Linked DNA regions of Drosophila melanogaster. The protein of the gene in region 1 purifies or fractionates together with the protein of each later gene. This does not show direct contact. Each region holds a gene or a part of one and is shown in the gene's direction. Other genes may lie near its edges.

Region 1 (5,894 bases):
GATAGAGCTGTGATTACCATATTAGAAAAAAAAAACTGGTTCAGAGCTCAATGCTAAATGAAATGTCGTATATATAATTAGTTGATGCTTTGCAATGAGTATAAATAAAAACTTTAAACTATTGTAAATATTATTAGTTATTATTAAGATTACGGTGTTCGACTTAAAAAATGATCTTGCATAAATCACTGCACTTGGTGTGATCACATTTACTTATTTTAATCCTATTAATTAAAAAGAATACTTGAACTTTCCGAACGCGGGGTTTTTCAACTGTCTTAGCATCTTACACTAAATTTTAAACACTTAAATCAGCGGATTTTAGCTGAATGGTTCAGCGATGAAATGTGATCGTCGACGATCCTTCTCCCAGCGACTTCTCCACTCGACTAAACGCTTCGCTGGATTTTGGCGCTTTTAAAGTGGACAACGTTTTCGCCGACTCCGACGACTGTGACGTCACGAAGCGTGCGCGAAAAATAGTAGTAAAAGTTATAGCTTACTGCTATAAAACAGCAACAGAAATAATCGTGCAAAAGCAAAACCAACCGCCATAACAGCAAAACCAAAATGTGTCTTTTGCAAAGGCACAATTCAAAGTTTAACGAACTTTTGAAGGGATCGAGTAAGATTGCGAGAAAAATATGAGCCAAGTTTTGTTTTAAGCTGTATTATTACGATAGTTGACTTAGGTCAGGGTTCTTGTACCACGTTCTTTGATAAGACGGCTATGTTGATAAACCCACAAACTGGTTTGAATATCACCAATTGAGTTGATTAGTATTCCTGCCTTTGATTTGGCCTGACGATTTTGGCCTTACCCATATGCGTGCCAATTTTGGAAGGTTGGCCAATTCACATAAATATTTAACATATTAGAACTTGCTAAATAAAAACCACTCTTTATTTTTCGGATACGATTAAATTAAACCATTTCGCCAAGAACTTTATTCTGAAAAATTAGATTTCCGTTTAAGCGATATACGTAGATAATAGAGTGGAAAACATCATTTAAATAGGTTTCATCTAAAGCAAGCTACTGAAAAGCTGTTTTCCTTGAATACACAATTTAATGTACACAATTTAGGAAGTTACTCATTGAGTAAGACGGTGTACCACCACATTTGTTTAAAATAATTTAACTGGTTGAGTAAATCATTTTCAGCCCTATAAGAGTCTTTGGTCAGGATCACTAGTGAATTCGGTCTATTTTTAGGGGAAATTTTTTAGCGGGGGTTTTGCAAAAGTTTAAAGATCTTCCCTGTAACTGACCACAGAACTTTAATTGTTAATCACCGATCTAAAAAAGTTACTAACAATCTAATCACAAAGTTACTCCTCGAAGAATGATTTACTATCAATCTATAGATAAGAAAGACCTATAAAAGATGTTAGCAGCTCGAAATGTCCACAACACCCCGCCTCTCAACAATCGAATCATGTTCTCAGCCAAGAGTTCTGCAATTGTGGCCGTAGTCCTCGTCCAGATGGTGGCTCAAATCCACGGAGGAGTCTACAGCTATGAGGACAAGTGGGTGTACCTGGACAAGACCCTGGACCTTCCAGAGGAAGCGATTCTCGGTGGCGTCGATCCCGATGGTTACTACACCTACGTGGGTCGTGTCACATACAGCAGTAACATTCTGCCAGCCCGAGTGGTACCGGAGCTGGGAAAGGCCACCTACAACACCGACACCTTGGGCAACCAAGCCACCACCTACGAGGTTCTGGTGTCCAACGCCACTGTCGGCTACCATTGGATCCGTAGTTTCGATGGTTTCCGGGAAAAGAACGCCGTATCTGTGGGAACCAACGCCCTCAGCGAGCGTGTCTTCATCTGTCGTGTCCGCTGTGATGAATCCATCTTTATCGGCACTCTGTACCTTTCCAAGCGGATGTGCATCGTCAAGTACGACAACTTTCCGCTCCGGCAGTTCGACAAGTACGAGATCCTTGTCCGCGAACGCCATGTAGCTGCCGTCTCGCCATTTGTTGATGGTTATATCCACCATTAAATGCTGAGCAACAAAATAAATAGAATAAAATATAAATACAAAATATTTATTAAAAAAAAACAATTCCTTTCAATTTATTTAATGACTTTGAATTAATAAAAATAATTAATATAAAAGCAAAGTTTCCTATTCTTTTTTCTTAATTTAAAAGAGGTAGAAAAACAGAATAACTGTGTTTAAGTTTTTGATAAATCCAAAGAAGAAATTATGTGAATTCCTATTTTCAATTTTTTTGTAACTGTAACTATTTATTCCTTTGTTAAATTAATTACTTAATTATACTCGTAGAGTAAACGCATTTACTTGATTTTGATTGATTGACAATGATATAACAAGTGGATGGAAGCTTTTTCAACCCAACAAAGTATATATAGTTTCGATCAGGATCACTAGACGGGTCATTCAAGCCATATCCGACTGTCCGTACGTTTGTCTGTATGAACATGGTAATCTCGGGAACTATAAAAGCTAGAAAGTTGATATCAGACTTGCAGATTCTAGTCACTTCAAGATATCTTCCTAGTCAACAGTTCAAGAATGTACTGCTACAAGGGCTTGATAATTGTGGCCGTAGTCCTAGTTCATTTGGTGACCCTTATCAGGGGAGCAGTATATAGCAGTGAAGACAAATAGATCCTTGCCGACAGGACGAAGGATCTGCTGGACGAAGCAGTGCTGGCTACATGAACTACGTCGGCCGTGTGTACTATAATGTCCTCAATAATGTCCTGCCTGCCCGAATGGTCCCGGAATTGGTTAGGGCCCACTTCAACACGGACGAGGCTAACTTTGCGCTGAAGGCGTCTTCATAGAAACGCTGTAGCCTTCGAAAAGAGGGTGCATTCTCAAATACGAGTACGAGTAATACAAGTACGAGATACTGATCAGGCAACGCCAAGTGGCTTCGTTCATGCCATTCGCTCTGTAAATACATTGTATGTATACTGAATGCAAGCAAATAAAATCTATAACTCTTTATCAGAAAATAGTCTTTTGCGTTCTTAATTGATTTATCATGTTAGATAAGATGACAACTTTGATTTTTATATAAGGAAAGGAAATTACATGAATATTTCACTAAGCTAATTGAAATATATACCAACTTAAAATTTTATTATATATTAAAGAAGTGCGATATAAGATATTCCATAGGGGAAAATGTTGATTGTATGACACGATCTTTCGTCTTGTAAAACCTGTATGTCATGGGAAATTAAAAAAAATTGTTCTCTAATATTGTTTTATTCAAAATATATTAAAGTAAAACTTATAATTTTTAGTTTATTTATATCAGACTAATTTTGACCAACTTGAAGAGCATACAAACTTTTTTTTGATTCAAACGAGAGGGATATTTCGATGGCTATGCTCTTTACTAATATTGGTTTTAAAACAAAAGTTTTTAGTTGCTCATTGTATGAACAAACAACAAAATAAATATATTAAAGTTCCTAATTAAATATATTTTAAATCATTTTATGTTTAACAACTAAGTTATAGCTCAATATTATGAAATGACTTAGGGGGATTTTTTCTTTAAATTTCTCTTACTTTGAAAGGGTGCAATAAAACAACGATGCGTTAGTCACCGAAACAGATGCTATCAATACCAATCTTTTGATAGCGATAAGTGTAATTGGAGTCGAAAGATAAGAAGACGACTATAAAAGCAGTTAAGTCACTGGCCAGACACTCAAAGTGAATCCAGCAGTCCGTCAAGATGTACAAACTTGTCTGTGTAGTTTTGGCCCTGTTTGCAGTTGCCTACGCGGTTCCCTCGACTTATGGTGAGAACCAATAATAATATAATATAGAGGGTTAACTGAATCCAATTAACATAGCCATTTCGAACAGATACCGAGCACGTGTGGAAGGCTGGTAACCTGTCCTACGTTATTCCCTATAATGCCGTTGTGGGTGGCTTCGATCCCTACGGATTTACCACCTATGTTGGTCGTGTTAAGTACTCCAATAGCATCCTGCCGGCTCGAGTTGTTGCGGAAACTGGTACTGCTTACTTCAATACGGAAACCACATCCTCGAAGCTCCTCGTCTACGACATCCTAGTGGCTGAGCGGGATGTAAATTACGTGTGGGTCAGGAGCTTCGATGGATTCTATGAAAAGGGAGCCGTTGCCGTGGGCACGACGGTCAAAAATGAGCGGGTGTTCTGCTGCCGTGCTAAGACCGATGGAGGCATCCTAATCGGCACCCTGCTCCTTAGCAGCCAGAAGGTGTGCATCATCAAGCACGAGAGCTTGGCCCTGCGAAAGTTCGACAAATATGAAGTTCTGGTGGCCCAGCCTAAAGGCAATGGAACATACTACTAAATTCTACTACTAGATCTTTGTCTGAATTAAGTTCCTTTGATATCCCGGCTCCCTTAAAAAATAAATAAAACATAATTTATTTCAAGTAATTATATTTATTTTGTAATTCACGGAATCGCACTTATTCAATTTTTTGATATGCATCAAATCTTATTAACATATATAGTTCAGTAAATGGATTGACTTTGAAACACTTAATTTTTATAAACAGACTAGTTTTATAAAATATGATTCTCAGGCAGATGATGTTTTTCACAAATTTCTTAATACATTCATATTTCTGGCAAAGAAAGACGTCTCCTTTCACATCAAAATTATTAATTCGTCCCCAACAATTTTTATATCATATTTATATTCCATGACATTTATAGAAAAATTAAAATAAAATAAAAATAAAACTGCCATTAAAATAAAACTTTATGCCTAAAGCGAAAATTGAGATTGGTAATTTTTTAAAAATGCCTTTTTGGAAGGACAACTATTTCTTAACTCGAAATTTCTTTTAAATTCATATTTTATTATGAACTCATCGTAATTTTCTGTTCTACATGCTGCTATGGACAAGAAAATGTATATACATTTTAAAGGTTTTAACTTTCGTACGTTTTTTTTACTCTTAGTTCATTTTGACGAACAAAGTAAGTCCATAATGTCTTTTTTGATAGATAGAACAGTTGATTGATTATGGTATTTAATCTGTAACCAAAGATCTTGCCTTGATTTCAGTGTCGTAAACTATTTTGGTTAAATACTATGTAAGCCACTTTGATTGGCAGAAAGCTATTTGGCTGTGCTTTAATTTAATTTGAAGGGGGTTTTGCAACTATCAGTTTTCGCAGAAGTAATCGATTAGATAAAAAGGGAGATTGGCCTTTTGACACCGGATCAAATTGGACAGTACTCAGAAATGGTTATTGATAGGTAGAATTGAAGTCATAAATTATCGCATTTGTTGCAGAAAAGCTATCGGTTTACTATGAGTTACGGCCACAAGCCAATTGGTTAAATAATAAAATATAAAATTGTCTATTTTCCTTAGACGAAGTTTTTATTAATTTTTTGAATACATGCCAACTTTGCTAACAAGATCATTAAATATTTAACCTACATAAGAATTTTCATTTAATTAATACAACTGCTCGTGAAGATGAATACCACTAACAGGGTAAAGACTTTCATTACCCCGATAGTCCCTGAACTGGAAGCCTTCTCGTCCTGCCACCAAGTCCACTCATTATGGTAAAATCGTGGATCGCAATTGGGATCCCCCGGCTTGTTATTGGGAGGATGTGCCTGTTTGGCAAATTGCTGGATTCGCGACCAAAGATCCAGAAAGATTGTCGAGTTTTGATACTCCGCATATAGGTTGCTCCGCTCGCAGGGATCAGCCTCAATATCGAAGAGACAGGGTCCCTCGAGAGGCAAGCAGGGCTTGACTCCTGTCGCAGGATCTGGGCATTCGATCCTGCTCTGATCTCTTAGTTCGCTGATGTTGCGCTCTCCGAATGACACCTGCTGCAACTGCAGCCAGACACTGGTATTCCGAACG
Region 2 (7,636 bases), on another chromosome or scaffold:
TCAAGTTGAATGTCAACCAAACGGGCTACTATCGGGTTAACTACGAGGAGAGCCTGTGGGCCCTGCTCATCCAGCAGCTAACCACCAGTCCCGCTCGATTCGAAATCGCCGATCGTGGCCATCTTTTGAACGATGCCTTCGCCCTGGCGGATGCCAACCAACTATCCTACAAAATTCCTCTGGATATGACCGCTTACTTGGCCCAGGAGCGCGACTTCGTGCCCTGGTATGTGGCCTCCAATAAGCTGAGGTCGCTCCATCGCAGTCTCATGTTCAGCGAGGGATACGTGTCGTACCTCACCTATGCCAGAAGTCTGATCGCTGGCGTATACGAGGAGGTGGGTTGGACTGTGGACGCCGACAATCACTTGAAGAAGTACGTATATAAGTACCAACTTGTTTTTCTGAAAACATTACTCAAACTACTGTTATTCAAACAATCTTTATTCCTTTGCAGCCGCCTGCGTGTTTCCATTTTGACCGCCGCCTGTGCCCTGGGTGTTCCAGATTGTCTGCAGCAGGCTTCCGAGCGCTTCAGCACCTTCCTGGAGAATCCGACCACTCGACCTTCCCCCGATCTTCGCGAGATTGTCTACTACTACGGCATGCAGCAGTCCACCAGCCAATCGAGCTGGGATCAGTTGTTCCAACTCTTTGTGGCCGAAACCGATGCCAGCGAGAAACTGAAGCTGATGTACGGATTGTCTGGCGTACGGAACAGCCAGTATCTGTTCGACTTCCTGGCACAGGCCTCCAGTGATGAGAGCATCGTTCGCTCCCAGGACTATTTCACCTGTGTGCAGTACATAGCCGCCAATCCTGTGGGTGAACCGGTGGTCTGGGAATTCTACCGCGAACAGTGGCCCCAACTCACCACCCGTTTTGGCCTGAACAACCGCAACTTTGGACGACTTATCGCCCAGATTACGGCCAACTTTGCCAGCTCCGTGAAACTGGAGGAGGTTCAGCACTTCTTCTCCAAGTACCCCGAATCGGGAGCTGGAGCTAACTCCCGGTTGGAGGCCGTGGAAACCATCAAGTACAACATCGAATGGCTATCCAGAAACGAAGCTGACATCACCGACTGGCTAAGTGGAACGGCCTCGCCGCTGACCAAGAAAAACCAATTGTAAAATTGTATATTGTATATAAACTGGCCATTTAGCCAATAATTAGAGTTGCATAAGCGAAAATTCCGTTCGAGTTCAATAAAATGAAATTTCAAAATCAAACCATAAATACAACCCCCATATTTTCATTCATTTTATCCGAGGCAAGTGGGGATTTCTATAGCTTCTAGGAAATAATTGGAGATAGGGTCTTTGAGTATATGGTCAATGCGGAATCATGACCATGCGTAATTATCCTGAGTAATTAGAGTGTCCAGTCATAATAGTCGATATATGGCCTTGTTCGAATCGTAAAAGTAATGGTCTAGCATAAAACGATTTTATCTGGACACGAAGCTATATAGTATATAGTCTAGATATCGGTCAGCAATCTGATCAGGTTTATCAAGTCCAAATTGTGGGGTCAGATTCGCAACTTGCATTCAGTTTCCAATTTGGCTTCCAGCCTAGTGGAAGCAGTCGAGTAATTTTCATCGAAAAAAGAATATCCCTAAAAATGGTTGCCTGTGAGTCTTCTATATAGAGTAGCATATCCCGAAGGAACAGTAACTAATGTGAACTCATTTTAGGGCTGACGGTTAAGTCAGTGGCCATCTTTTTGGGCCTGGCCTCTACTGCTTTTTGTGTGGCCACGATTGTGCTGGCCGTTCAGAATGCGGACCTGGAGAACGATCTGCAGGATGCCCTCGATAAGATCGACGCATTGACGGTGGACACCACGTCCACGTCCTCCACCTCTACCAGCACTTCCACGACCACCACCACTGCAAATCCCAATGGGCCCACGGATGACACCGAGCCTGGCTCTACCACCACACCTGGCGTAGGAGGTGACACAACCCCCAGTGCAGGAACATCTCCGGGTGGTGAAACTTCGCCATCATCCAGTACAGGAAGCACCACCAATCCCATCTATCCGACATTGCCGACAGGACTTCCTGATCCTGAAAAGGTGAGTGAAGTGCAAGAAAAATATATTTCACGGCTATAAAAGATGTTAGTTCAGAAAAACCCTCACACAGAGTGGGAAAATTTTCAGCGATTAGACGTAAAGTCGGCATGGCTACTAATTTCGAATTTATTAAGTTCCAACTTAGTCTTACTGGTCATTTCAAGTGCTTATCGCTTGGCTAGCGTTTTTTTTCCTCTTTTTTATCATAATACAAAACGGGTCTAATTTCTTGGGTCTTTTAAGTTAGTTTAATTGCGGCTAACGCAGTGTTAGGAGCCACAAAAATGGGACACATGCAGGACAGGATTAAGGGTATTTATTGATAACGAAGGAAGTTTTGGGAAAACACCGATACCGATTCATGTATATTTTCATAGACTTGATCACCGCTGAGCGCGTGGCTATATTCTTTGGTCTATTATCGACCTGCTTGATCGTTGCCCTTGTCATTGTGGCCGTCCACAGGGATAATTTATTGCTGCAGTTGGACGAAGCCAAAAGGATGTTGGATGTTCTGGAGGAATACATTCAAAGCCACTTGTTGTCCACCATTTCGGAAAGAAATTCATAAGAATTAGGGTGCTGGCAAACATTCAAAAAGATGGCTTTCAAATCCATATCTATTTCCAAAAATGGTTAAAGCAATAAAGCAATAAAGGCAAACGGATAAGAAACCAAAATACGCTTAGGTTTCAATATTTGTGTAGTAGAGCTATTGTTGTTTGATATCTGAAATTGCACCTAATAAATTAGGACCCTAATTTCACAACATTTAGCCACTATATCCAGCTAAGGCATATTTGTTGCAACGACGTCCACTTGGTTTACGACCTGACCACAACAGTGCTATTTCCTATCGCCACCTTATCAACGCATTGCTCACTTAATAGGGCCAAAGCCCATTATCGATGGCGTGGATATTAAATAAACTTTACGACCCCGCAGATCGAATGGCGCCTGCCCACGGAACTGACGCCCATCAAGTACAAGGTGTACTACCATCCCGACTTGACGACCGGCGCCTGTGAGGGAACCGTGTCCATTCAGTTCCAGCTGAACGCGATCACCAACCTGATCGTCCTGCACGCCAAGGAGCTCAATGTGCACAGCATCAGCATCCTGAACATGATGGCGCGCATACGCGTGGCCATCGATAGCATCAACTTGGATGAGTCCCGGGAGCTGCTCCTGATCACGCTAAGAGAGGTCCTCAGTATGAACAAGGCCTACACACTGTCCGCAAGTTTCGACTGCGATCTGAGCAGTCTGGTGGGCAGCTACATCAGCAACTACACGAATGCCGATGGAGTAGATAGGTGAGTAATTTTAAGGTATATCTTGCGATGACAAACATTTTGTTAGCATGTCTAGACTAAGATGTCAGGTATCTTTATTATATCGTACTATTTATGTAGCTAAGATCGTATCTAGTGCACTGTCCGCAACTAGTACGATTGCAAGCACACTTGTGAATACCCCCAATGCATTGGAGATCATCGCATGTTGGGGCCATAAAAAAGCCGGTCTCAGCTGATGAGAGAGCTTTCCGGAGAAGCTCGAGTGCCGTGACAACTTTGGAGCCCGCTTCAGTCGGAAGTTCAGAGCAGAGCGCGACGGTCGCGATAGAAAAGAGCGGACTCCGTCTGCAAATACGATCTCAATTACGATTCTCGCGATTCCCCTTTCTTTTCGCTTTTCTTCGTTTTCTCGGATTTCTCGAGTGCGCGCCTACGATTTGAATCAAGAATGATAGCTGTCCGGCAATTGCCGTTATCAAATTAGCCGAGTGAATATTCCTCGGACCCGGCAAAGTTACAATTAATGCCATTCGTAGACAAAAGAAAAACGAAAAACGAGACACGAAAAGCTGTGATTTCAACTGTAAATCAAGTAAAAGGCATAGTGCGAAATGTGACGGGAATAATAGATAATAAGTGGCCCATATCAATCAGATACCGTTGAGTCCGCTCCAAAAGCTCCACGCCAATACAAAATGACCATTGTCACCGCATCGCCGTTATGCGATCAAAATTCTAGTTTTAATTGGGCGCATTGAGGCGATCACTATTTTTAATATTCGCTGAAATGTGACCACCGGATTCTATGCCAACTTTGACTTTCAACGGGTATTCGTTTCGATAAACAACGGGCCATCGCAGGCTGGCCAAGAGAACTCCACATGGCTGAATCAAACAGGTTGCACCGCTCCCTTCCCCTCCCCTCCTTCTTTCCCACACCCCTTTGGGACCGCTGCAAACAGGCTTGGAGCCAAATGCATACATAGTTCACTTGCCGCGCAAGTTCTTGGCCTTAAATCGGCCACAATCGATGCACAGCAAAAAAAAAAAGAAAAGAATTATATCTATCGTAGCCCATTATCAGATTATATTGGTATGTCTCTTATCAACGAGAAGTAGATTCTGTTCGTAGTTGCATTCTTTGACATTTATCAACAATTGTTACCAATCTGATTATAAGAAAAATTAATATCACAGTTTTTTTAATTATCAATATTATCAATATTATAAATTGTATATATAAATACAATTACGGCAATTAGACATTTTACTTCTTCATTAGATCTTCAATTTGTATCTTCGATTTTGTTGGTAATCATTTGCTTATGATTTTTTTTGCTGTGTATCTGTGGTTGTTGGCCAGCAAATGCGTCGTGTTTACATCTTCAATGCGGCAAATACTCAATGGCCGCTGAGAAAATACTTTCTTCAAAAAGCCGCAACAAAATGGGTCGACATCATTGACTGCCAAGAAACTTGTTGTCATAGTAGCTTCCCCTACCCGTTTCTCGCTGTGTTTCCTGGGTTTGTTTTGTTCTTGAAAGTTCAGTCAAAGCTCGGTGGTCAAACCTTTTTTTCATTTTCATTGACACTGATTTCTTTTTCGTTCTTCTTGGGCGAAATAGAAATTTTTTTATTTCCAAACGGTGGGAAAGAACCTTCGAAAGTGGAGGGCTTTTTAATTGGATTTTTGTGCTAATAATGTAAATTAACGGCTGTTGTTGGCAGAATTGATAAGGCACTTGACACCTTTGGCGGTGTGTAAATTATACAATTTAACACCTTGAAGTTCATTGATCTACATGCTGAAATATAAACAATTTCATTGATCTTCTATTTATAAAATATTTATTTATTTATATTTCAATGAACTGTTGATAAAGCTTACATAAATATTTGTAAATATCGCATGGTTTCGAGTTTCCTATTTTCCAATATTGAAGTTATTTATAAAGTGTATATCATGAAATCTATAGCATTAAATTAAGCAAGTCAAGGCCGAAGTTTCCTCTCCGATTTTATAGTTTATTTGTGTTGAAAGTGATGCAACCCATTGATTAATAGTAAATTTATTTCGCATTCCGTTAACCCCAAACATGCAAATTGTGGCAATCATTTCTTTGTCAACGCATCTTCCTTTTATTTATTGTTTTTATTTGAATTTTCCCTTTGTGTATATCATAAATTGCAGGCACGTATAGTCGACCATTGTCAATTTCATCCCACCGCGGGTGTTATGGGTAGTATTTCTTCCATGTCTGGGATTCACTTTGAGTTTTTGGGTGTTTCTGGGGCGCACTTGTCACGTATAACTTTGTGTTTATTGTGAAAGTTATGACCTTAAAAAGCCCGAAGAACGTGTTTCAAATGTAAGCTTTCAGTTTCGAATTCCAAAATTTAAAAGCATCTCTGCTCTGAAGTAAACAAACATATAATGGAGTGACAAACAGGGATATTTATCTGAATGATCTGAATCTGAATTTATCTGACAACACAAATTGTTACTGTTTAGCATAAGAAATGATCCACGTTTCTTATATCAAATAATGTTTAGATTAATTCCTTTTTAAGCTGCTGTATTGCGCATTAGTTTTTTTTTTCTGTGTGCTTTCGACTCGATCTACAAAGTAGTGAAATTTATGCGACTCATTAGCGAAGTATGAGAACTGTTATGTTATGGCTTGTGCCCCCGCGATCATCGCTTCATCGGCTTCAGAATGCCGAGATATTCACATCTGTGCAATGGGGCGTGTCCGATTGGCTGTTGGAAGTCGGAGATATATGAACTCATATGGTACATATGTATATACCAACCATTGTCTGCAGATCTTCTGGTTGCTTTTTTTCCGGCGCTCATAAGGTGGTAGTCATGCAATTTTGTTGACTCCGATGTGCGGTGGCTTTGTGCGATGTGCGCTCCCTAATTGAGTCAGCATTACATCATCCGCGGAAGATGCAAGGGGGCGTATACGTATTATACCATGTGTATCAGAGACAATTGCCTGCCGGCTGGTGAAAATTAGCATATTCTGCAGCCTCGAATTCCTCAATTCGCACAATTCCGAGTGAATGGTGATCCGTGTGATACTTCAGCTGCATCGCGTATTGTTCTTTTTTTTTTGGCTTAATACTCCTATATCCTGACATCATTTTCGAAAAGCAAGCCGTGGATCATGACTCTGCGGGCAACTCAATTCATTTCCAATGCTAATAATGGCATCTGTAATTTCTTGCCATCGCACAACCTGCGGAGATTTGTGCAACAGACTCCGTAAATTGACAGGCAAAAAGCCAACAACCTTTTGTGATCCGTCAATCAATCGTACACAGCGAGAAAAACTATACACTATGATTAAAAAAATGCTATTAAGTAATCATCATTGACTATCTAGAGAGACATAAAATTGAGATGTTATAAAAGTATTGTATGCTACTGAATTTCTTAGCGTTATTGTGTAGAGACGCCTCCATAGAAAGTCGTATCATTGCAACAAACCCGGGGATTCGAATTGCAACTCTTGCGGTTAGCCAGCCCAGTTCCAACACCAACTTTATAAACCAAACTAAAAAATGGCTTCGAGTATTTGTAGTAACAATTTCACAAAATGACCAACTTCATTACGTGACCGTTGGAGGGGACTGGGGGACAAAAATAACAGGCATCTGATTGATCTGCAGCGAGTCGAAATTGAGGCAATCTCCACCTGGAGATAGAGTGAAATGTGACGGAAGCTGTGCTGCCCCGCCTCCTTCACCTGGCACCTCCATAAAAGCCGGGTCCATAAGCCCGGGTTTGTTTATAAGCAGCTCGGAGATTATTAAAACAGAAAAAACTGATGATGGCAGCGGAGACGCATGTAATTCAGTACGCGACTTTTATGATGCTCTCGAATTACCCCGCCGATGACACAATAGATTGTATGAAGTTATGGCGTTGTGGGACAGCCCCATAGTTGGCCGAAAAAACTACTGTTAGAGTGAAGCTTACCGATCGTGACATTTAATAATGTTTTCCAGTGATTTACTGTTGTTGAACGCACCGAGCCCAGTAATATAGGACTAGAAACAGCAAAAAAATAGTACAATTAAGAAGGAAAGAAACTAAAAGTCATGTATGCAGCGAAAAACGTACGCCCGCGCAGCAGTCTCTCCACAGACGACAATCACCGGATCAAGGACACCAATCGGCCCCACAAGGCCCGCAGCAACACGATCCTGACCCTCGCCGCATTCTGCGTCTTTCTGCTAGTCCTCTG
Region 3 (8,425 bases), on another chromosome or scaffold:
CCACGCTGGATCGTACCAGAGCGCTCTGGTGAATGATGCCAGCGCTAATGCCCGCCCCATGAGCCACTTTGTCCAGAAGCCCTCGGAGATTGCCCTGCTCTATGACTCCGTTTCGTATGCTAAGGCCGGATCCGTTCTTGACATGTGGCGCCATGCCCTGACTAACACCGTTTTCCAACGCGGCCTACACAACTATCTGGTCGACAAGTAGGTTTCAAGTTTTGGAGCCTACATCAATGTCTAATATCGAATTTTTATTCTAACCAGTCAATTCACTGCTGCCAATCCCAGCAAGCTTTTCGAGGCCATTGCCAAGGCTGCCGTGGAGGAGAACTATGAAGTGAAAGCAACCGTGCCCGATATGATGGGTAGCTGGACAAACCAGGGAGGAGTTCCTTTACTGACCGTGACTCGTAACTACGACAACGGAAGCTTCACAGTTAAGCAGTCGGTGTACACCAACGATAAGGACTATACGAATGACAAGTTGTGGTATGTGCCCATTAACTACGCCGAATCGAAAAATCCCGACTTCCGCAACACCGAGGCTACTCATTATCTGCTTAACCAATCCGAGATTACCATCTATTCCGACTTGGACCAGACCAACTGGTTGATTCTGAACAAAAAATCCACTGGTTACTACCGCGTGCTCTATGATGCCCAAAACTATCAACTGATCACCAGCGCATTGATCACTCGTCCCCACAAGATCGATCCTAGGAACCGAGCCCAGTTGATTAACGACTTGTACCGCTTTGCAACCAGTGGCCGTGTGCCCCATGCCACTTTGCTGGAGCTGTTGACCTACTTGCCCCAGGAGGATCAGTACTCTCCCTGGTCCGCTACCAACACAGTGATTACCCTGCTCAACCGCTACCTGAGCGGAGATGCGGATTATGGCAACTTCCAGTTCTACGTCCGTGAACTGGTGAGCCTGCAGTTCGACAAGTTCGGAGTGAATGATAACAAAGGTGACCACCATTTGGTACCATTCACCCGCAATGTGCTAATTAACCTTGCTTGTCTGGCGGGTCTGGAGAATTGTCTGACGGAGACCACGGCCAAGTTGACGGCTCTCGTGGAGGAGGGAACTAAGATCGAGCCGAATCTACAGTCGCAGGTGTACTGCAACGGCCTGAAGCAGGCCGATGACAAAACCTTTGACTTTGTGTTCAACAAGCTGCTGAACTCCACCGATCAGGCCGAGCGTCGTCTTCTGATCTCCGCCCTGGGCTGCTCCCAGAACACTGCCCAGCTAGAGAAGTTCGTGTACAGCAGCATTGAGCCAGAGGGTTTGAGGGATCAGGAAAGGATCACGGTGCTGAGTCCGGTCTACTCCCGCGGCGAGGTGGGTCTGCTGGTCGCCATTGAGTTCCTGCAGAAGAACTGGGAAAAGTATGGTCAGCTAAATTCCGGCTTTGGTGGCGTAAATCCTCTGTACAGCGACATTGTGGGTATTTCCGCCTATACCGTCAACGACAAGCAGAAGGATGCCTTGCAAGAGTTGGTGGACACTGTCAAGGGTTCTGAGTATGTGCCCAGCACTCTGCAGGATAGCGTGGATAGCAACGTGAATGCCAACTACGCGTGGCTGGCTTCCAACAGGGATCCCCTGATGACCTGGGTCGCCGGATTCCGCAGCGGCAGCTCCGCCCTGAACGCCTCCATTTTGGCAATCCTTGCCTGCCTTCTGGCCGCCAAGCTATTCTAAAACGTAGATCCTAAGTTAGTTATAGATTTCCATTGTGCGCCCAATAAATTCCATTAATTTCCTAAAACTATTGTTTGCTTTTGCTGGGAATTTACAATTCCCTTCATAGGTTTATGGTCGTGAATTGCCAGATCGAAGTGGTCAGATAAGCGTGAGTATTTCATAAATTTCCTCTTTTGAAAAGTAAAAAACTCTGTTCTTACGACCACAGTTGAGCCATAAATACATGGGTAATCAGCCTTGGCAACTAATTTCATAAGTGTGAACGAAATCATGTTAGCCTTTAGTTTCACAAATGGTCGAATATAAATATAATAAAAGGAATTAAACAAAGACTGAAATTTCTTGAGGGGTTTTTATGACTTTAATAACTTGGTGGATACAGTTTTATAATCGGCGGTTTTTGCAAATTTAACAAACTACTGGGGGCGGTGTGCAGATATATTTTCTTGTTTATCATTCATATGCTTGACAAATGTGTTTTTTCAATAGCTTTGATACTCTATTGTGCCGTAAATAAGCGTTTGCCGTCAATTTTTGATTTGCTTTGGCCACTAATCAATCAATAATACTCATTAAATGCTTCATAGCAGGAAGAAGTTCCTTTAAGAGTACAATACACTTAACATAATGTGGTTCATATGTTGATAAGCCATTTTGCGATAGCGTTAGTTAATCCAAACGAATACAAGGTAAAATGTACGGACCGACAATTCTTTGGATGCTCATATAAAAAATTCAGACAAACCTATTCATGTTTGTTTCATTATTTACGAAGTATCTTGTAATCAACCAACATTAGCAACAACTTGGCAGTTAAAAGCTTTCCCCTTTGGAAGACTGCAAATCACGCTCGATAAGATTGGGTGCAATGCACCATAAAGTCTCAAAGAAGCAGTGCAACGGACAGCAAATGTTATGCCATCGTCTGGCAATCTTCAAAAAAATATTGTCAGCTTGGATTGGTAGCCAATGGCGGAGTGTGTAAATCACGACCCCTTATCGCTATCGCAGCTTAATCTATAGACCAGGCGAACTTTATCTGGGCCGAAATAAAACGTTAAAGTTTGCAGATAAGCCGCTGATACTAGCAAAGTCGCAAAATGGTTTACATTCACCATATATACCGGGCCCAAAGCCAAAACTCACTTAGTTTTCGAATCGAATCGCTGGCCGAGTGGCGTGCGAAATACTAATTCTAGTCCGAGGTTCGCGATCGAACCCTTGAAAAGTGAGTTTAATAAGTGCTTATATAAATGGGGATTTTTCAAGTAAAATTGGAACAATCCTTATAAAAGTGAAAAAAAAAACTTTAAATTACTAGACACGTACTAGCGATGCGATTAATTAAGTTTTTAATTTGTATCCCTTTTGATATTTCATTAGTAGGAAGAATGTTTGCCCCGCGAGTGGCTGTTCTCCTGGTGGCCTGTGTGTCCTTGGCCTCGGCAGGAACTCGGCAACTGTCTGTGGATGTCCAGCCGCCGGCGACGCTCGCCACCGAGCTAAATGAATACCGCCTGGCCGAGCACATCACGCCGGTTAACTACAACATTACGCTGCGTCCCTATTTGCTGGAGACCGATGGCAACAAGAGGTTCACCTTCGATGGCGAGGTTTGGATCGAGGTGATTTCCAACCAGACCACCAACGACATCTATCTGCACTCGAAAAACCTCACATATTCGGTCAGGGAATACTGGCAAAAGCCAACCACCGAAGTGGCCAATCCTACGGTCATCCAAATTAGTGCCACCAATACAACGAACTATGATACGGATATTGTAAAGCTGACGGCGTCAACTGCTTTGACCGCCAATACGACATATATACTGCATTTCGTGTACACCGGTCTGATGGAGGACGATATGCACGGTTTCTATCGCAGCTCCTATGTGGACGATAACAATGTTACCAAGTGGCTGGGATCCACCCAATTCCAAACCCATCACGCTCGTCGCGCCTTCCCCAGCTTTGATGAGCCCCAGTTCAAGGCCACCTTCGATGTCACGCTGAAGCGACACAGGACCTTCAACTCGGTCAGTAACACCCGTCTGATCTCATCGTATCCCAGCACTGAAGAGTAAGAACTTCCACCACTTTATTGTTAATCTGTAAGCCTTCCATTGGTTAAGAAATTCAACTATCTAGTGAGAATTTAATCGATTAACGAGAAAGTTGTTATTTCTTGATCTGAATATTATGTTTTATTTCACCCAATTATTAGAGGTATTTTCTCGGACGTGTACAAGACGACGCCCAAAATGTCCACCTATCTGCTGGCTTTCATAATTTCCGAGTTCGTGGCCCGTAAGGATGACGATTTCGGAGTTTACGCACGTCCCGAGTACTATGCTCAGACCCAGTACCCCTACAATGTGGGTATCCAGATTTTGGAGGAGATGGGCCAGTACCTGGATAAGGACTACTACTCTATGGGCAACGACAAGATGGATATGGCCGCCATTCCGGATTTCTCGGCCGGAGCAATGGAGAACTGGGGTCTGTTGACCTACAGGGAGCGTTCCCTGCTGGTGGACGAGTCGGCTACTACCTTGGCCTCCCGCCAGTCCATTGCCGCCGTGGTGGCTCACGAACAGGCGCACATGTGGTTCGGCGATCTGGTCACCTGCAAGTGGTGGAGCTACACCTGGCTTAACGAGGGATTCGCTCGCTATTTCCAATACTTCGGCACCGCCATGGTCGAGGACAAATGGGAGCTGGAGAAGCAGTTTGTGGTTGACCAGGTGCAGTCGGTCATGGCCATGGACTCGACCAATGCCACCAATCCGCTGAGCGATGAGAACACCTACACGCCCGCCCATCTGAGCCGCATGTTTAACAGCATCTCCTACAACAAGGGAGCCACCTTCATCCGTATGATCAAGCACACCATGGGCGAGCAACAATTCCAGAAGTCCCTGCAGGAATACCTGAAGAAATAGTGAGTAGTGGGGAAATTAAATATGTGACTTGTATTTCAAGGGTTTTTCTTGCTTACAGCGAGTATCAGTCGTCTTTGCCTGAATATCTCTTGGGAGCCTGGCAAGCCAATTGGCCCAACTCCAGTTACAATGAAAGCTCCAAAGATATATTCAAGAGCTTCACCGAGCAGGTGGGCTATCCACTGATCAATGTAACTGTTGGCAACAGTCAGGTCAGCTTCACGCAGAAGCGTTTCCTGCTGAAGGAGAGCGATGGATCCGACTCATCTTTGAAATATACTGTGCCCATTTCCTACACTACCAGTGAGACAAATAACTTTTTGAACACCACGCCAAAGTTTATTCTGAAACCCAACGTAACTACGACGGTTCAATTCAACTCAACAATAAAATGGATTGTGGTCAATATTCAGCAGACCGGATATTACCGTGTCACCTACTCCGACGACAATTGGCATGCCATCCACCACGCTCTGATCACAGCCAACTGGGGAGGAATTCACGAGAACAATCGCGCCCAGATCGTGGATGATCTGTTCAATCTGGCCAGGGCTGGATATGTTACCTACAACCTTACCTTGGATGTGATCGAGTATTTGCAGACGGAGACCAACTACATCCCCTGGACATCCGCCTTCAACGGCTTCAACTACTTGACTATCCGCCTCGGAAACGACACGGCCGATTTCAATTACTATATCCAGACCCTGACCAACAAGGCCTACAATCAGCTGGGCTTCAATGAAGCATCGAATGATACAGCCTTGGACATTTACCTACGCACTAAGATCCTCTCCTGGGCCTGTCGCTATGGCAGCTCCGATTGCATCAGCCAGGCCCAGGGCTACTTCCAATCGTTGGCCACCGTGCCCAAGAACATACGCGCCACTGTCTACTGCGTGGGTCTGCGTGAAGGTGGTGAGGCCGAGTTCCAGGCTCTTTACAACAAGTTCAAGAACGAGACCGTGGCCACCGAGGAGACCCTGCTGCAGAACTCATTCGGTTGCGTCAAGACCCAGTCTCTAATCGAGAAGGTGTTCGATCTGATCATCAGCGATGAGATTCGACGACAGGACAAGTCATCCGTGCTGGCCACTCTCTACACGGAGAACAACGAGAATGTCAGTCCGGTGTTTGCACTGGTCACTCAGAAATACGAGGAATTGGCTGAGGCGTAAGTATATCCTATTATTTGGTTTGGCTTGCATTTTATAATTCACTTCTTTCTGCAGCATGGGCGGCTACTCCGCTGTGGCCACGGTGATTTCCAATATCGCCGCCCGTTTCACCACAAATCAGCAGTTAACTGATCTGGAGAACTTCAACAAGGCTAATGGCGCCAAGTTCGGCAGCTCGCAGGCCACTTTGACCGCCGCCGAGGCAACCGTTAAGGAGAACTTGGAGTGGGCTACGGCCAAGCTGGGCGTTTTCCGCAGCTATCTGGCCAACTATCGTAGTGGAAGCGCCATGGTCAACGCCTTCAGCGCCATCAGCCTTTTGATGGTGGCCCTGGTCACCATGCTGCGTAACTAAGCAGGGATTAGCTCCTACTGGAGTCAGGTGCGATCGAGTCACGAGTGCTCCTTAGGCCATAAAGTATTTGTACGCAAGAGCACCCAATAAAGTAACACCTTTTTGTAGATAAGCCGCTGTTTTAGTTTATTATTACTCGTGCTAGCAAAATCGATCATGAAATGGGCTTAAATGACACCCATGGCGACAATTAATTTACAATCTGATTAGCGACAATATTGCCGGGTGATTCAGTTCGGGATCTTGAGGGGATTTTATAAAACTACGGTTCAATCGATCACTATTTGGCCATAAATTTGTTGAAGGGCAATAAACGATTTTTTTTTAAGTTTTACCGAAATTTCCGGCGAAAAGGTGTTTTATTTATTTTTTATTAGATTGTATTAGCCATTAATTTAAGTCTGGCGCGTAATAAATCAAACCATATTAAGCCATTAGGGTTTTTTTTTTTAATTTGTGTGCTTTAATTTTGATGCAATTAAAAAAAAAGACAAGGAATATCGCTGAAACTTAAACTGACCGACATAAGTAATAAATTACTATCTTTATTGCTAGCTCTTTTACAATATTGTCTTGCAGATATCGATCTTACCACCTATTCTGGCTAACTAAGTTGATTCACTTTTCGTGGAACCCAATCGAAAACATAATCCTTATCGCATCTTATCAATTGTAGTATTGAGTGCCGCATTGGACTTTCCACCATAATGGTGAATGGATAGCAGAGGGACTTTTTTTTAGAGTTTAATCTATACAAATCACTAATAATGGTATGACAAATATTTTAAGGAGAATGTACAATATTATCTTTTAAAAATAATTTTCAAAACACCAATAGCTTTCCTGACTAAAACTCATTAAGCAGCTGTCGTTGGCAATTAAAATGATAATTGGCATTCCATTTAGCATTTAATAAATGCCCAATGGCACGCTGATAAGAATATTTCAGTGAGAGAAGTGTGACGACATCTTGTATTATTGTTGAATATTCCGCTATCTAATCACCTGCGAACGACACCTGTTTTGCGGGGGGGACTTTTATTTGATTTTCTGATTCTGATTCCGGCGATCTACAAGAGTGTGTCCGAATCCAACGCTCCAGTAATCGAGTTTCGGTCGCCATGAGCAGTTCGATATTTCGGGCCTTTTGGCTACTTTGTTCACTGCTGATCTGTGTCACGAATGCCGCTGATTATCGACTGGAAGGTAGCGTCGTACCATCGCACTACAACCTGACCATCGGTGTTTTGCGGAACTCAGTCGAGCCCACTATTTTCGATGGCGAAGTGAGCATTACCTTGCGGGTGGTCGGAACTTTGGAGGTGCAACAAATCATTCTACACGCTGATACGCTCGACATTACGGAATGTTGGCTTTTGGATGCGGCAGGTGCGCAGGTGGAGGCCATCGATATCAGCAGGTTGATTTATGAGGCCGCCACCCAACAGGTGAGAGTTCCGCTGACGGAGGCCGCGCAGCCAGGCAAAAATTATACGCTCGGGTTCAAGTACACCGGGCACATACGAACGGATATGGCCGGCTTCTTCTCCGCCAGCTATGTGGAGAGGGATACCAATGTGACCAGGTGGTTGGCTCTCACCCAGATGCAGCGCATCAACGCCCGTTTGGTCCTGCCCTGCTTCGATGAGCCCGCCCTGAAGGCACAGTTCCAACTGCAGATTGTTCGGCCCAACGGGTATCAGTCGATTGCCAACACCAAGCTAAAAGAAACTAAAGCTTTAAGGTACATTACACTTTATATAATATAAAATAAATAATGTTAACTAATCACCGTTTTTCCATGATTTCAGCCAAGATCGTTTTGTCGATCACTTCAAGGAGACCCCTGTAATGTCCACATATCTGCTGGCCTTCATGGTGGCCAATTATTCTGCACGTGGAAATGAGAGTGAGTTCGCAGTGCTCACTCGTCCGGAGTTTTATGATAACACAGAGTTCAGCTACCATGTGGGTCAGCAGGTGGTTTCAGCATACGGGGAGTTGTTCCAGAGTCCATATGCTGAACTGGGCAACGATGTGCTGCAGTATGCCAGTTCGCCCAGGTTCCCGCACAACGGCATGGAAAACTGGGGCCTCATAATCTACAGGTGAGTACGAAAAGTATTGCCAAATATACATATAAACGAAAGTAAAATATAGAATATGATTTCATTATGTTTTGTTGTTACTTTAAAGCGACGATGTCCTTATACAGGAACCTGGATACTCGGAT
Region 4 (9,067 bases), on another chromosome or scaffold:
CGCGGTTGATAGTGAAACGACAACATAAACCGACAGTGTTTGATACGGCAGTATGTGTTTTAGAGCGCCTGGATTTGTTTTGATTCAGATTGAGCAACATATTCGCATGACCCACGACTTTCGGTTGAAAATAACGAGCCTCGATTGTTCCGTGGAAGTGAGAGCAGGTTCTCCATGTGATCGATCATTCCGGCAGCCGCAGGCTGTGACTGGTTTTTTTTTTTTTGTTAAGCGTTCAATGATCTGAAAATGGGATTGGGAATTTTGGACTGAAGCGATTTTGTTTTAATTATAATTTCTATCCGGACAGCAGACGCTAATTACTCTTGGCAACACGTACTATAGTACTTGGACGTATGCTATAATTTCTATTCATGTTATGATTTCATTTTACTCGCAGACCCATTGACCCAATTCAATTTTAATCTTACAGATACGTAGCCGCCACGCAATGTGAGCCAACATATGGTCGTCTAATATTTCCCTGCTACGATGAGCCGGGCTTTAAGTCAAACTTTAGCATTAAAATTACCCACGGTAGTAGTCATTCCGCCATATCCAATATGCCAGTGAAGGAAGTACTAGCTCACGGGTAAGTTCATATGCTTATATATTTTTCCATAAATATTAACCTCTTATATATATTTGTAGTGACTTGAAAACCACTTCATTTCACACAACCCCACCGATTTCAACCTACCTTGTGGCTTTTGTCATCTCCGATTTTGGAAGCATATCTGAGACTTATCGTGGGATCACTCAAAGCATCTATACCTCGCCAACTTCCAAGGAAAAAGGTCAAGTTGCACTGAAAAATGCTGTGCGAACAGTGGCTGCACTCGAGGACTACTTCGGGGTTTCCTATCCTTTGCCAAAACTGGATCACGTGGCGCTTAAGAAGAACTATGGAGCAGCCATGGAGAACTGGGGTCTAATCACTTATAAGGACGTTAACTTGCTTAAAAACATTTCGTCGGATGGACAGAAACGAAAGTTGGACTTGATCACCCAGAACCACGAGATCGCACACCAGTGGTTCGGCAACTTGGTGTCCCCGGAGTGGTGGACATACACTTGGATGAATGAGGGATTCGCCACTTATTTTAGCTATGTGATAACTGATTTGGTTAGTAACGAATAATGGTTATAATAGGTTACTTTCCTTTTTCATACAACTTTCCCGTTTCCTTTCAGATATACCCCAATGACAAAATGATGGACATGTTTATGACCCATGAGGCAGATAGTGCATACAGCTACAACAGCTTCTTTGATGTCCATCCAATGTCCCATTACGTCGAGGGTGAAAAGGACATCATGGGTGTATTCGACATTATCTCCTATAAGCGAGGTGCATGCGTGATCAAGATGTTTCATCACGCCTTTCGTCAGAAGCTCTTCGTGCGTGGTATCAGTCACTTTCTGGAGAAATAGTAAGTTTTTGAAAATCACCTCTCGAACTGGTCAATTGGAATTCATGGGTCAAGGTGCTCTGCTCTTTCGCCCAGTCGTTATAGCGTGGCCAATGAGCTGAACCTCTTCGATGCCCTGCATTCGGAGCTCCAGGATGACGAGTACTTTTCGCATCAGCCATGGGCGTCCCGGATAAGGGAGATTATGCTCTCGTGGACGCATAGCGAATGGTTGCCCATTTTGGTGGTCACTCGGAACTACGAGAACAACACCATCACGTTTACCCAGCGATCAGTTCACATGAAGGATGAGCTATGGTGGATACCAATAAATTTTGCCACCACACAGTCGCCCAACTTCGAGGACACCCAAGTGGATATGTTTATGCCACCCCAACCACAGTATACGGTATCACTGGAGGATCTGAATATCCATGTCAGCGGCAGGGATTGGATAATGGTGAATAAGCAGCACACCGGTTTCTATCTCGTCCGCTACGATACAGATAATCTAATGGCCATTGCCAGGCAGCTGCAGACGAATCACTCGGTCATCCATCCAATAAATCGACTTGGTCTCTTTCGAGATCTGGGTCCCCTGATCGAACATAATGAAATCGAGCAAGTGGAAGTAGTGTTCGAGTTGCTAAAGTACCTTGAGCTTGAGGAGGATGTGCTGACTTGGAATCAGTTGCAAGATACGATAGAGTGTCTAACACGAAACTTGCATGGCACCTCCTCCCAGAGCCTCTTCAATGAGTTTGTACGCCGCCTGGTTGGCCCGACTTTTCGACGAGTTTACGTGGAACAAGGTGTAAATTTAGCTGAAGATGGGATGTTCCGTGGGATTCTAGAAATCGCCTGCTCTGCGGATCTTCCCGAGTGCCTGGAATACACACGTCGCCTGGCTAAGGAGCATATAATCGATAAAATTTATTTTAAAGATGGATCAGACTACCATGCCATAATCGATTCCGTGTTATGCATGGGAGTTCGGTATCTAAGCGATCAGGACTTCCAAAGGATAATTGATATGATGCAGGAAATAGATCGAGCTTCGGTATACTATGATGACATTATATATGCCCTCCGGTGCACGCAGAGTCATCGGCATCTGTTATACTATCTGGAAGGTCTGATGGGTGAAAACTCCACCCATATGGTCCTTTCCGAATTCGAAGATTTGATGTATCTCCTCTACATATACAAGTCGAATCTGGCCTCTCGTCCGGTCATCTGGCAGTATATCGAGCGCAACTACAAGGTGCTCTGTCGAGCACCAAACTTTTTAGAGCACTTTAAACAGCTCGCTGGATTTGTGCCCAGACATCAGAGATCACATGTAATGAGTTTATATCTATTTCATATCCTACTCGTTTTGTTCACACATATCTCTTTTCAGTTTGAGAGGCTACGCCAGACAATTGCGAACCACATGATGCAGGAGGGTCTTAATACGAACCAAACGCTGATCGAGGTCGATTCTCCGCTGGTGGGCAAAAAGATGAAAATCACCGAAAATTTCCAGGACAAGTTCGAGCAGCAGATCCACAAATGGCTGCTCAATGAGCTTCCTCAGGCGACCAGCAGAAGTGATGCCCTTTTGTCCGCCTCCCTCAGCGCGGCCAATGGGTCAAGTCGTCCTCAAGGAGTCCTAAAGGAGGCGACTAGGGTGTTGCGCAGTGCGTTACGAATAGTAGATATGTATAGGTGACCAGACATTTGGTCTAACTAGGTATCACATAAGTACAGGCTTAATTACGAATAAATTAATTTTTTTCAAAACAAAACAATCGAGTCAATTCATTCAACAGCCAAGAGCTTTTCAACACATTCTAAATTAACTACAGACGTTATCGATTTGTCTGAAACGCCTCCGTGGGGAATTGATAAGCAAGTATAAAACACAAAAGTCATCGATAATAAAAACCCGATCAAATGACTATAACTTTTTTACGCAAAGACTAGTAATTATTTCTGGGTATTTCTGGCCATTAAAAAGCAATTTGAAAAATTTATAACAATTTTGGACATTCAATAAGTCGTATAAAAATATACAAAACTGAACAAAGCCATTACTTAAGTTTGTTAGTTTTTGTACAATGATTACTGAATATTAAAGCATACAAATTTGATATATTTAAAATGTAGCACCTCGTAAAATTAATTGATACTTATTAGCGTTTTTCACGAGTATTTATGACTGTTTTGATTATAGCACTATAACAACTTGCATTTTTTCGTACTTTCAAATACTTAGTCGTCCCAGACGAAGCCATAATTCAAAAATTTACTGCTCCTAATGATGAAACTAATAATAGGAATTTGATTAACAAAAAAGTAATGTTATCCTGCTTTATTTTGATAAGCGTTACGCTACTGAATAATTAAAATGTTACCGAGGGGATTTTTTACACTATAGAGTACCATCTTCAAAACTCTCGTAGACTAATTGTTTTACAGCCCAATCATACTTCACATTTGACTTGTCCCAGTGCACTCTGGGCCAATAACCGTGGCTTTGCCACGTTTTATCGAGAATTGCGCAACAATCTTTATGGCGATCGATGTTGAGGATTAGATATGGCCAAGTCCATAAAAATGCCGTGTTCAAGCGGCGGCCGCTCAATAACAAAGTGTCTTTTACCGAGCAGCCAACATGGCACGGTGGCTGCTTAACTCGTTTTCGCTGATCCTGCTCCTGGCAGTGTGCAGCCTACAGGCGCGCCTGATCCTTCCCTTATCCCTGGACGATGGACAGCTGGAGACCAAGGGAGCAGCCCTCTTTGCCACCTCCCGCGTGGATGATAATAGTGCCGGCAATTACCGACTGCCAAATACAACGGAACCGGAGTCCTACAACGTGGAACTCTGGACCAATGTCCATAATGGCGATACCGAATTCAATGGCACCGTCAATATCGATATCCGGGTTTTGAACGAGACATCGAATATTACGCTTCACTATCGCCAGACGTCGAATTTTGAAGCGACGATTATCAGCCGGGATGTGGCCACGCCCACGGCAATTCCACTCACTGTAACCCCCGAGTTGCAGCGCGAATTCCTCGTCCTTACGCAGACCACCGCTGGTGAGGCATTTGGAGCCAACACCAACTGGACCATCACCATCAACTACACTGGCATCCACCGATCTGATATGGGCGGTTTCTATATCTCCAGTTATACGGACGATGATGGCGAACAGCAGTAAGTTGATATTTTACGAAGACTATACAAAATAATACCATTATTTTATTATGAGCTTGCACAGCCTTTACCCTTTTACCTTTATAGAAAATTATACTTAGGTTAGCCTTCTAATGGATGAGGGAATAAATTGCAAAAGTACAAAAGCTTATCGTGCTATTAATTACAATTGTACCTGATTGAGTACTTGCGGCTAGTTTCATTTCTTATCAAGAGACACAATTTGGCTTATCTTTATAATCTGTTATTAGTACGATGATACGCGCTTACCAAATAAAGATTAATTATCGGTTTAACTGAGTCGTTAATGTATATAACAATTTCTTTCAGCTTCTTGGCCACCACGCAATTCGAGAGCACAAACGCCCGTCACGCGTTTCCCTGTTACGATGAGCCTGCCCGTAGAGCTAACTTTACGATTACCATCCACCATGATCCCTCCTACACTGCCATCAGCAATATGCCAGTAAACACCGCTGCCACCAGGTATGATTTACGAATATATATACAAGCATAGAGGAAACATTACTCATTCGCAGTGTTGACAATGCTAGATACAATTGCAATCGATACTTTTCATGTAAGAAATGCTAACATACTGACGGTTTCGCCTTCCAGCTCGGGAGTCACTGCTTTCCAGACGACGCCAAAGATGTCCACCTACCTGGTGGCCTTCATCGTCTCCGATTTTGAGTCCACCACCGGAGAACTGAATGGCATCCGCCAGCGGGTTTTCTCGCGCAAGGGAAAGCAGGATCAGCAGGAATGGGCCCTTTGGTCCGGATTGCTTGTGGAGTCCAGTCTGGCTAGCTACTTTGGGGTTCCCTTCGCCCTGCCCAAGCTAGATCAAGCTGGAATACCGGACTTCTCTGCCGGTGCCATGGAGAACTGGGGTCTGGCCACCTATCGTGAGCAGTACATGTGGTGGAACAAGCAGAACTCCACGATCAACCTGAAGACGAACATTGCCAATATTATTGGACACGAGTACGCGCACATGTGGTTCGGCGATTTGGTATCTATCAAATGGTGGACCTATCTGTGGCTCAAGGAGGGCTTTGCTACTCTCTTCTCGTACGAATCGAACGACATTGCTTTCCCACTGTGGGACACCTATCAGATCTTCCACGTGAACGACTACAACAGCGCTCTGCTTAACGACGCCCTGGCCTCGGCCGTTCCCATGACGCACTACGTTCAGACACCATCGGAGATCTCCAACAGGTATAACACCTTCTCGTACGCCAAGCCCGCCAGTGTTCTGTACATGTTCAAGAACGCTTGGACGGACAAGGTATTCCGCACTGGATTGAACAAATACCTGACCAAGAAGTGAGTACCAAGCCATTACTTAAATGACCTAATATATGAACTTCTAATGTATAGAGTATAGAATTTTGATTAATCAAAAGATCTAAAATATTTCAAGAACTTAAAAAGCTAACTTTATGATATACTCGTATATACTGGGCTTAAGAGCCCTCATTTTAATTTGAACAGTAATCTCACATTGGAATTATTTTGTTTCGCTCAGCCAATATACATCTTGCGACGAATGGGATCTATTTGCGTCCTTCCAGGAATCGGCCGACGAGCTGGGCTTTACGCTGCCCGCCAGTGTGGACGACATCTTCAGTAGCTGGTCCCACCAGGCTGGTTATCCCCTGCTCACAGTGACCCGTAATTACAATGCCGGCACTATAACGATCACCCAGAAGCGTTATGTGGCGAACAAAACTGATACAAATAGCGCAACTTGGTATGTGCCACTTAACTTTGCCACTGCCAACAAGTACGATTATCGTGACACGAGCGCCACACATTACTTGCTAAATGTGACGGAGACCGTGATCTCAGATGTCGAGGCTTCCAGCGATGACTGGATAATCGTGAATATCCAGAACTCCGGCTATTACCGCACCCTGTACGATACGCAGAACTATGGTCTAATTACGGCAGCTCTGAAGTCTCAGCCCTGGAGGTTCCATCCTCGTAACAGGGCACAACTGCTGTACGATACGTACATCTTTGTCAGCACCGATCGCCTGAGCCACAGCATCCTGCTGGAGCTGCTGGGTTACCTGACTAATGAGCAGCAGTATGCTCCTTGGTCCACTGCCAACACTATTCTGACCGTCTACGATCGTTACTTGCGTGGCGATGATTCTTACTACAACTTCCAAGATTTCGTGAAGCGCCTGATCGATCCCATCTTCGATAAAATCGGTGTAAACGAGATTCCCGGCGAGCATTATCTGAACAACTATCTGCGCATCGTGCTGGTCAGCTTGGCCTGCCAGGTGGGATCCGATGATTGCTATAACCAGTCGGCCAATAAATTATCCGAGTACCTATACAATGGCACAGCCATTGAGGCCACTCTAAAGACTCAAGCCTACTGTGCTGGTCTCCGATCGACTACCAATGAAATCTATAGCAGAGTGCAGTCCGATTTGCTCAGTTCCTCAGATTCCACCGATCGCAGCCTGTTCATCTCCTCGTTGGGCTGCTCTGGAAGTACGAGCCAGCTGCTTGATTTCTTGAGACTATCCCTGGACACCAACAATAGCTTGAGCTACTCGGAGCGCACTTCCCTTCTAAACTCGGCCTATTCCCGCAGTGAAATCGGTCTTACCGCTAGTTTGGAATTCCTGGAGAGCAACTGGGAGGCATATGCCAACCTTTCAGACTCTGCAAAGCCCCTGGATGCTGCCCTGCGTGGCATTGCCACCTATGTGGTCAGTGAGAAGCAAAAGACGAGGGTACGTTTTTTTTTTTTAATTTATAATTCAAAGCAGACTTTTAATTTACTATTTATTAATTATATGACAGCTTAACGCTTTGGTGGATGTTGTGGAGGCTGATGGACCGAGTTATATCAATGATGATCTGAGCACCACCATTGACTCCAGAATCACATCCAACTTCGCTTGGTTGGAAGTTAATCGTGATCCAGTGCTCAACTGGATCGAGGATTCCTTAAAAGAGAACGGCAGTCCCTCTCTGACCTCATCCATCACCACGATCCTGGTCAGTGCGATGGCTCTGTTGCTATTCAGGCTATATTAAGATAACTCACGTGGTCAAGTATTAAACATAAATTCAGTAAAGTGACGTAAATCAACAATAAAGATTGTGTGCTCATCATAGATCGAAAATAGAACTGATTATACTGTGGAATTTTCGGGCTGAATGGAGTCCCCTGGTGAGAAAAGTTCAAAGTTCCGCGGTTGGGAAACTTAACTGATCGGTTTATAGCTTGGTTGACACACATTTGCATTGGTCAATCTAATCGCGATTCTAGGAATGGCATCGATAAAGCACTGATAGTTGAGCTTAGTACGAAATTCGATTATCAAGTGGATATTTACAATGGCCTGAATGGTTTATGAAGTTCACGTGATCATATCAGATTGTGATTGGCAACTTTCAAGAACAATAAGCCATTTTATGGTTTTCAGTTTCTTAATCAATTTCAATGGTTTTACCATTTATTAGAAGATGTCTAGCTGTTGCATAGTATCGCACATATTGCTTAGTAATTCCGTATGGATTAATGGGCCTTTTCTTATCTCAAGAGCGAACTTGAACAGTCTATTATACCATAATAGTTAACAGGCGTGTATATTTCGCTATCATATCAGCACATATGATAAGTACACGAGAACTTCAGTTTCAATTATTATTGTTCAAGATCTTGTTTCGTATAGAAATTATTGCTGTTTTCATAATTAGATAATATGCTGTCATTCCTTTTCATTAATTATAGTAATAGTGTTAAATAATTTTTAGAGGTGAGAGAAACAATTCTTTTATAATCAGCTAAACAATCAGATCAAGGTCAGTGCACTTGAGATTTTTATCAGGGCGTCTATCTTGAAATGCCCACACTTATTCGACATTATCTTAGACGTGATTGTTACTAACCCTGCAGAAAATACAAATTCATCAAAGGCTAGTACCATACTTGATTTACTACCCAATGGAGTTTATACCACAGTTCTTGGCTGGTAACGGTCATTCTGGGTAACAAGATTGGGGTAATCTTTATGTCTGCTCCCAGATAAGATGGACTGCCTCGCTTAAAAGTGGCTCCCCGAACTTTGGCAGTTTAGTCTTTCCGCGTTTTTCGCCATGAGTTGCGTTCAGGTCGGGGGCATGTCAGTATTCTTGGTCCTTTTGCTGGCCATTTCCGCCACCCAGGCGGCTGTGGTTCGCCAATATCCGATCCTTGATCACCTGCAACATCTGGAGAATCCCATGCAGCGATTGGTGGTTCCTCTCGCCGACGAGGATAACTACCGTCTGCCCTACGATACGATCCCGAGTCATTATGCCGTGTCCTTGAGCACAAATGTGCACACGGGAGACACCGTGTTCAATGGTACCGTGGCCATCACCTTAAGCGTTTTGAACACCACCACAAAAATTGTGGTCCACGCCCG

Evidence for each region.
Region 2: the proteins of CG5506 (region 1) and CG32473 purify together in Drosophila melanogaster (affinity purification with mass spectrometry, with the first as the bait; one large-scale study listed by BioGRID). This does not show direct contact.
Region 3: the proteins of CG5506 (region 1) and CG31198 purify together in Drosophila melanogaster (affinity purification with mass spectrometry, with the first as the bait; one large-scale study listed by BioGRID). This does not show direct contact.
Region 4: the proteins of CG5506 (region 1) and CG31343 purify together in Drosophila melanogaster (affinity purification with mass spectrometry, with the first as the bait; one large-scale study listed by BioGRID). This does not show direct contact.

What each region holds. Positions count from the first base shown.
Region 1 is NT_037436.4:17,882,187-17,888,080, reverse strand, and holds CG5506 (uncharacterized protein), read left to right. Parts: upstream 1-3,704; 5' UTR 3,705-3,735; coding exon 3,736-3,802; intron 3,803-3,869; coding exon 3,870-4,345; 3' UTR 4,346-4,432; downstream 4,433-5,894. Other genes in the region: CG16775 (uncharacterized protein), read left to right, coding at 1,440-2,015; CG7408 (uncharacterized protein), read right to left, coding at 5,468-5,894.
Region 2 is NT_033777.3:13,301,099-13,308,734, forward strand, and holds the start of CG32473 (uncharacterized protein), read left to right. Parts: upstream 1-3,665; 5' UTR 3,666-3,972; intron 3,973-7,397; 5' UTR 7,398-7,490; coding exon 7,491-7,636. Other genes in the region: CG8774 (uncharacterized protein), read left to right, coding at 1-376, 458-1,133; CG43208 (uncharacterized protein), read left to right, coding at 2,367-2,394, 2,460-2,653.
Region 3 is NT_033777.3:21,751,461-21,759,885, forward strand, and holds CG31198 (uncharacterized protein), read left to right. Parts: upstream 1-2,863; 5' UTR 2,864-2,945; intron 2,946-3,100; 5' UTR 3,101-3,108; coding exon 3,109-3,797; intron 3,798-3,941; coding exon 3,942-4,658; intron 4,659-4,717; coding exon 4,718-5,833; intron 5,834-5,891; coding exon 5,892-6,192; 3' UTR 6,193-6,298; downstream 6,299-8,425. Other genes in the region: CG31233 (uncharacterized protein), read left to right, coding at 1-207, 268-1,714.
Region 4 is NT_033777.3:21,741,234-21,750,300, forward strand, and holds CG31343 (uncharacterized protein), read left to right. Parts: upstream 1-4,032; 5' UTR 4,033-4,071; coding exon 4,072-4,622; intron 4,623-4,952; coding exon 4,953-5,108; intron 5,109-5,240; coding exon 5,241-5,954; intron 5,955-6,156; coding exon 6,157-7,384; intron 7,385-7,454; coding exon 7,455-7,691; 3' UTR 7,692-7,770; downstream 7,771-9,067. Other genes in the region: CG5849 (uncharacterized protein), read left to right, coding at 434-592, 652-1,126, 1,195-1,433, 1,509-2,754, 2,815-3,126; CG31233 (uncharacterized protein), read left to right, coding at 8,757-9,067.